2 linked regions of the Tribolium castaneum genome follow. The protein of the gene in region 1 purifies or fractionates together with the protein of each later gene. This does not show direct contact. Links are inferred from orthologs where the notes say so. Each region holds a gene or a part of one and is shown on either strand. Other genes may lie near its edges. The genes, in order: tws and mts.

Evidence for each region.
Region 2: the proteins of tws (region 1) and mts purify together in Caenorhabditis elegans (affinity purification with western blotting; 3 studies listed by BioGRID, with this or other methods). This does not show direct contact. The link is inferred for Tribolium castaneum from reciprocal best matches to the Caenorhabditis elegans genes sur-6 and let-92.

What each region holds. Positions count from the first base shown.
Region 1 is NC_087395.1:13,629,863-13,633,686, forward strand, and holds part of tws (serine/threonine-protein phosphatase 2A 55 kDa regulatory subunit B alpha isoform), read left to right. Parts: intron 1-2,448; coding exon 2,449-3,404; intron 3,405-3,824. UniProt on the Caenorhabditis elegans protein: Probable regulatory subunit of serine/threonine phosphatase let-92.
Region 2 is NC_087399.1:655,010-659,590, forward strand, and holds the start of mts (serine/threonine-protein phosphatase 2A catalytic subunit beta isoform), read left to right. Parts: upstream 1-1,478; 5' UTR 1,479-1,543; coding exon 1,544-1,627; intron 1,628-1,865; coding exon 1,866-1,979; intron 1,980-2,467; coding exon 2,468-2,929; intron 2,930-4,581. Other genes in the region: small ribosomal subunit protein RACK1, read right to left, coding at 249-380, 584-792, 945-1,053.

The sequences.
Region 1 (3,824 bases):
AACTCAGTATGCCGCTTCGTTTAATTGACTATTCGGAAATAAAATTAACTAGACGCCCTCTGGTGGTGACTTTTGAACTATGTTGAAAACAGTAAAGAAATTTTCGTAATTCCACATTTAATGAATTGCTTAACAATTTTGCATGTAGTATTAATTACTTACATTAGAAAGAATCACTTTAAAAGTACGTGATGGTAAGAACTAGCTTTGACTTTGGTTCTGCGGTTTTTCGTGATATAAAGTGTTTGTTGTTGGAACTTGGAAGTGGATAAAAAGTGAAAAAGCCTCAATTTTGATTTCAAAATGTTATCAAACAGTTATCTAATTAAAGACTATAAGTAATGGATCACAGCGAACACAAAGTTGGGCTCAAGAAACCAATAAATTAGTGAAGTTTGTGAATTTTAGGTTAGAATTTTTCCACTGAAAGAATCATGAAATACTTCGGTAAATCTACAAAACTACAATTAAGATTAACAACTGCTGATACATTTAAACGTAAATTATGCCAAAAGGTAGGCTTTTCAATGTCTTTATAATAATTTTTCAATAAAGAAAGTGAACTAAACAGTCATTCGTTATTCCTGATTTCCTGGTCATCTCTCATTTGTCAACATAAGTTTCTTGAATCAAAGATACAATTGTTCATTCCGCAGAGGCAATGCAATAATTGTGAAGCCTCAAAATTCGTACAACGCTCAAATATCCGAATAAACATTTTCTCGCCATTTATGGTTACTGTTTTCGACCTAGCTCAGTGGCGCCTCTAATGGTAATTTTACTTCCGAATTGTATTTTCTGGGTACTGTCATCTTTGTCAAAATTTAAAATTAGGTTTTTGTTCACTTTTGTGCATTTTTCGGCAAAGTTGTTTCAAGTGTTGAGCTTGTCTTGATTTGTGTTTGATATTACTATATTTTTTGTTATTTTCTTTCGTTTTTAGATTCGAAGCCTTTTTGCATTACTTTGACTGATCTGTCACTTTGCTGGCATCCACAATTTAAATTGAACGGCGGGTAACGTTCAAATTCATAGGTGACTTGATGAAAAACCATTTCTGAACAGCGTGTATTAAATTTAATGTTTACGCCCGGTATTTAGTTGGGTAGTATGCATAAAAAGTAGCAAAAGCTTTTACTGTAGTTTTATCCTCTTTTCTCGTGAAATGTAAATTACGTCTATCTTTTACTATTACAAGTAAAAGCATTTATTCATACGGTTCATTGCCACTTTTCTGTGACCCGTTTTCATCAAGAAATCAAAAAGAAATTCTTACTTTTCAACAACGCATGCGCATTTAAAATCTTTATGCGCGGTGTTGCCAAAAAGCTGGGAATTTAACCCAATTTCTACTAAAACCCGGTATTTCAGTAGACGATTAAACCAAAAATATTTTAGTTACCAATTTATTTCCTTGCTTGACGTATTTTAATGCTTGGCTATGATTTAACAAAGTTTAAAATTTTTGCTGAAGAAAATGTGTCGGTGTTATAAACTTTTTTCAGTTTTGGAGTATTGTTTAAATGTCCCCTTTTGTCGTAACGAAAATTATTATTTTAGACACGCTGTATCTAGATAGTTGAAATATGTACCTGTTTCTCATTGTTTAAGAAAACATCTATGACTCAGTGAATGAACTCTTGTTGCAAAGGATGATCTGCTCATGGCTGAATTCAAAATGACAATTTTTTATAATATTGTACCATGAGATCGAAAATATTCTGAGTTAGAGCAATTTGAGCGTTGTACAGTCACCTTTGATTGATTCGCCATTGACAGAATTGTTCAAAAGTTCTAATATTGTTCTTATGATTTAGGTGTAATCATATTTAGAGGTTTTCTTGCCTCTTCCTAAAGCCATTTTCTTCTTCTCAATTGCTTTCAAACGTTTATCTTCTGATAAAATTCTGTTTTATTTAATTTGTTGTCATGTGTAGCTACGGTTTACTTTTAATAGGCAAGTAGTCAGATATAGCAGAAAACGATTTTTGTTAAAATATTCTTTGGTGTTCTATAGAATGGATACAAAAATAGCATGTTCAACCCGTAAGAAAAGTGGCTAAAACTATTTCATGAAAACTTTTCAGTGGCCTGTAAACCACAACTTTTCTTTACTTGTTAAGCAATCTACTATATTTCACAACAAAGTCAAATTGTCGCCATTCTTTTTAACACTTTCAGTCAACAAAGCGGATGTTTTGAGCCTTTATAAATAATGACTTGACGTTAGTGACAGTGTCCCCTTTAATAATTTGTCAGATCATAATTTTTTGCATGTAAAAAGCACATTAATTTCTTTATTTTTTTAAAATGTTGCCTTACTTATATCTTCCGATAGTGTATGTGGACTTAATTCTTATTAATTAAGTACGCCTGGACTAAAATACAAAAATCATTATCGATCGTTGTTTTAACATTTTGCGTAAACGTGGTGTGTTTTTGTTTCAGGCAATGGAGACGTGCAGTGGTGCTTTGCTCAGGTGAAGGGAACGCTCGACGATGACGTGACCGAAGCTGATATAATCTCTTGCGTGGAGTTCAACCACGACGGTGAACTCTTAGCGACAGGGGACAAAGGAGGCCGCGTAGTGATCTTCCAACGCGATCCGACGTCAAAAACATCATTTCCACGACGTGGCGAATACAACGTGTACTCGACGTTTCAATCACACGAACCCGAATTCGACTACCTCAAGAGTTTAGAGATTGAAGAGAAGATCAACAAGATCCGATGGCTGAAACGTCGCAATCCTGCCCATTTCCTTTTGTCGACCAACGACAAGACTATCAAGCTATGGAAGGTGTCGGAGCGGGACAAGAAAGTGGAGGGCTACAATACTCGCTCGGAGAACGGCTCGCTGATCGATCCAATGAATGTCAGCTCGTTGAGGGTGCCCACCATCAAGCCCATGGAGCTGATGGTGGAGGCGTCGCCGCGGAGGATCTTCGCCAACGCGCACACCTACCACATCAACTCGATTTCGGTCAATTCGGACCAGGAGACCTACCTATCGGCCGACGATCTACGGATCAACCTGTGGCATCTAGAAATTACCGATCAAAGCTTCAATATTGTAGATATCAAGCCGACGAACATGGAGGAATTAACCGAAGTTATAACGGCGGCGGAGTTTCACCCGGTCGAGTGCAACCTGTTCGTTTACAGTAGTAGTAAGGGTACAATTAGGTTATGTGACATGAGGGCGGCGGCCCTCTGCGACAGACATGCTAAACTGTTCGAGGAACCCGAAGATCCGACGAATAGGAGTTTCTTTTCCGAAATTATATCGAGTATTTCCGATGTTAAGTTGTCGAATAACGGCAGATATATGATATCTAGAGACTATTTATCAGTTAAAGTTTGGGATCTACACATGGAAACCAAGCCAATAGAAACGTATCCAGTAAGTATTTATGTCTTTGTTAAGTTTATTGAGACAGGTTCGATTTTATCGTTATTGTGCTCTATTTGCTTTAACGGCCAACTCTAAAGTTAATGCTTGTTTTACCCGTTAAACGGGGTTAATTTCGTCCCAATGTAACAGTAAACATGGCACGTGAGAGTGAAAACTGTAATTCACATATTTTAATGACGTTTAATTCAAGACTATTATTCAAACAAATATTAAACCATTAAAACTAAGTGTACTTAGAATTATATCCTACGGTAGAATCAAGTCAGTGATACAACTTGATGAAGTCGGAGTAAAACACACATCATCTCCAAGAATATAGAACGAAATTAATAGGTCGTGAGGCATAAATCTTTCGAATTTTACGTTTTTTTTACTTAGACAGTAAATCAGTAGCAAATTAGAAGTTTG
Region 2 (4,581 bases), on another chromosome or scaffold:
CGAGACACAAATTTAAAGTTTATACAGATAAAGAAATAGCTTCTAATAAATATTTAATTAATTTAATGTCCATATCATCCATACCGTCAGAAAATGTAGATTATAAAAAAATAGTCGCCACCCTTTTTTTTCAGTAAATTTAACAACTTTTAACAAGAAAAGAAAAAACATATCTACTACTAATAATGCAGCACTCGCCGTGCTCGTGTTGTAAAGAACTCACGTCGGAAATTTCTCCGAACACTTACCCAATCAGAGTGGCCATCGTCCTGGATGGTATACTTGCACTCGGCCAAAGTGTTCCACAATTTGATGGTCTTGTCGCGGGATCCTGACACGATTTGGCGGTTATCAACCGAGAAAGCCACACTTAAGACATCCTAAACAGATACATTTTTAAGTTTTGCGAATGATTGCTAACACACCCATTGGTAGGACTAGCCTAATATGTCTCACGATACTTACACAAGGGGGCCCAACAGTCAACTTCAGTCGCCGTTAATACAAAAAAAACAAAAAATCTTCCGACTGTTGCAACGTGAGATATCAAAACTGTAAAACGGTAAAAATGTATGTTTCAAACCTTGGTATGGTCCTCAAATCGACGCGTTGTTTTCCCAGCAGCCAAGTCCCACAAACGCAAGGTCTTGTCCCATGAGCCAGAAAGGGCGTAATTACCGTCGCTCGACAGGACAACGTCAGAAATAAAATGGGAATGGCCGTACAAACGCTTCTGGGGCACCCCGTAGCATGTCTCGTCACGTGTCAGTTTCCATACGATCAAAGTCTTGTCTAAAACCAACAAAATCGGAAATTATCCACGGGAAACATGCTCCCGAAGGCCAATTTGGCGAAATTGGGGCAAATTTCAAGCGGATGGTTGCGTAATTCACCAATAAATGGGGATTAGAAAGGAGATTATGGGTTAGAATTTGGGTTCTTACCTCGAGACGCGGACAAAATCAAGTCGGGGTATTTGGGGTTGGTCGCAATTTGCGTAATCCAGCCGTTGTGCCCCAAAAGGGTGCCTTTCAATTGAAGGGTTTCGGACATTTTTCAGAGGACCTTCCTCACACAAGACCGGCTCAAAAAGAAAAGGGAACGGAAGAGAGAGGTGGCTCTGCAGTTGCCAACCGAACAAAAACACCCATTACGCAACGAAAAGTCACTATTAGTCACTAGATTAGCTAACCACACCGGTTGGAGGGCCTGGATTTTTTTACGTTTTGCATAATTTGAAAACCAAACGGTTTTTACAACTTTGTTGTAGCCCCTCATTACAATTTGTGCAAAAAGTGGTACTTGAACATTTACAGTTTCCTGTATAGTTGGTTGTACTTCAAGATTTTTTACCTTTGGTCATTTCTAGTACCAAATTTTTGACGATTTTTTTGTGGAAACTGCGTTATGTCACACCTTTTATTTAATTTATCATGTTTTTTGTTATTTGAACCGGCCAATCAAGCGGCGTGGGCAGGGCCTGGGAAACAAACGACCTTGCTTGAGTAATGTCAACAAAGCGTCAAACTGTCTCTTACAAGCAATGAAAAGCCCCCAAACGCAAAAACCGATTAAATTTCGAACTCCGACGTCCGCTGTGTCAATATTATGCGACAAACCGCCCCAGGTAAAATTCTGTCCGTGATTAATGGAGTTCGATTTGAGTTTCCCGGTCGGTGGTGTGAGTGTACAAAGCCGCCGCTAGAGGTCTTATTAAATCCACCACATAATCGCCATTTTGGTGTGTTCATCCGAGAATAGATAAAAACTAAAATAACGAGTAATTTATGTAGAGAAACAAACCGAATTTCGAGCAGTTTAGTGTAATTATTTATGATCTAACTTATTTTCGTGTGTATGACCAGATACCGCTAGCAATGGATGATAAAGCGTCGTGTAAAGAACTGGATCAGTGGATAGAACAGTTAAATGACTGTAAGCAACTATCAGAAAATCAAGTAAAGACACTATGTGATAAGGTAAATATCGCCCCTTTGCCTAGTTTTAGTCCCTTGAATCGATTCGTGTTCGCTCCAATTAACGCAATTAAAGTGTTTATTTTAATTAGCACCGCCAGTTTACTCCTTATTTACAGTCCTGGTTACGTTATCTCTAATAAAATAAGCACTTTAGATCCTTGGAGCCCGATCTTTTATCAGATCCTCTCAAACAAACCACTGATTCATACCGATGATTACGAATGAATCAGTGGCGGCTCGTGGTTAAACCAGGTGAAGAGCTAACGAAATTCAAAATTTACAACCAAATTTCATGTTTTCCAATTCAAAGTCATAAACACAAGCATTCTATCATTCCTAATATGGCCAGAAATTTCCAAAGATGACTGAGAAACTTCACTAAAAAAGGTGACCTGACTTGACTTGACCTGACCGAGCTAAAATTAGGTTATGTTTTTTCTGTCGTCATCAATGAGTCATCGTGTGATGTCATTTTTTCCCTGTTCCAGGCGAAAGAGATCCTGTCGAAGGAGTCGAACGTACAAGAAGTGCGATGTCCTGTAACCGTGTGCGGGGACGTCCACGGCCAATTCCACGACTTGATGGAGTTGTTCAGGATAGGAGGAAGGAGTCCCGACACGAATTACCTCTTCATGGGTGACTATGTAGACCGTGGTTATTATTCGGTGGAGACGGTGACACTCCTAGTAGCTCTCAAAGTTCGATATAAAGAAAGAATAACGATTCTAAGAGGTAACCACGAGTCGAGACAAATCACCCAAGTTTACGGTTTTTACGACGAGTGTTTGAGAAAATACGGAAACGCAAACGTTTGGAAATTCTTTACGGATTTATTTGATTATTTGCCTTTGACGGCGCTCGTCGATAGTCAAATTTTCTGTCTGCATGGAGGACTCAGTCCCAGCATTGATACCTTGGATCACATTAGGGCGTTAGATCGTTTGCAAGAGGTGAGTAAGGGGGGCAGCATTTTTAGAGCATGGCTACATTCGAAAATGATACACTTCTTCAATAAATTACATCATCTTATTGTTTTGGAAATTATGCAATTAATTGAATTGGCAGTTTGTCGTTTAAGTCATAATTACCTTTCTCATGCATTCAAAAAACTACAATTTGTTGAGTTATCTCATGTAAAACTAGCGTTAATATCCGCAAAAAGCTGACAAGTTTAACCGATAATTTAATACGATTTTGTTTTATTGTGTAACAGGAATAAAAAAGTAATGATCGATTGCCTCTTACGTGTAATGACGTGATTGATTTAATAAAATTCATCAAAAACGATCCGAAAAATCTAGCCAAAATGTTGGTTTAATTTTTTGGGTCCCAAAATTTTGTTCATTTTTTTTAACTAAAAATTCGTGGAACAAACTAGAATTTTTTCTTGTACGAAAGTTTAATTATTTTGAGGCAAAATTCTTCAAAAAACGTGAATTATTGCTTCAAAAATTTTATTACTTTTCCTATTTAATTTTTAATTCATTTGGCGCTCTTCTCCATTGATCCGGCTTTGTCTTGTGCAATAAAAGACCTCGTTTTTAGTAAAGGTTGATAAGAAAATTAATTATTAAACTTGAAAAAAGTTCGTATTGTCTATTATTGATTAAGTTAATCAATGTTAATTTTCTTAAATGTAAATAAATACGTCACTGATAAAGAAAAGGTATTTCTAAAAGAAGAATTTATTTTTGTCTCAACAAAACAATGATTATCGTGGATTGATCGAGCAAAATAAATACTTGATTTTGTTTAAAAACAAGATGCCAAATCTGTTCGTTTTAATCTGAAACTTTTTCGGTAAATCTGCTCAAATAAACGAAAATCCGACACCACCTCGTAATAAATCTTCCACTTTAACGCTGTCGTTTTTAATTTGATTTAATTTGTCAGAATCGATACAAGACGTTCGCTTCATGGCTTCGTTTTTATGGATTTTTGCGTAAATTTCGTACGACTCTCATAAAAAAAATTGCCAGTTATTGATTCTGGCTTGTCTTGTTATGAATATTTTACGATGTCGCTAGTTGAAAAAAAACCTGTGAGGGCATTAAACCCTTTCTCTGGTGACAAATTACCACGTAAATCTTTTAAAGAGAAACTTTAGACTTGGGGAAAAAAGTGACACAAGTTTAATTTTAGTAAAACGTTGCTTTTCCATTTAATGTGATAGTCGAAAAAAAAATTGAAACCAGTCGAACGTGAAGTAATTGCTTTCAAGGTCCCACGTCAATCTATTTAGCTTCCAAACAATTTATCGGATGGAAATCTCGAGCGTTTGTCACCCCAAACACCCTTAATTATAATGAATTCATCACATTGCGACCTTGACCCGATTCTGGTTTATCTTGGAGTTGCTCTGGATAATTCACATTCTTGCGGAAAATTTATTACGGGAACAATAATTTCGCCAAGGAAAGTTTGCCGGTCGGTATTTTTAGATATTTATGAGTATTAAATCAGTCCGGTCTACTAAGCTGGTAATACCTGTTTGGTAAATCTTCAAACTCATGTTAATTAAAATTTTAAATTCATCCAAGAGTGATTTATTACGATTGCGGTGCAACTTTTTCTTTTTTTCGGTGAAACGCGTGAAAATCTT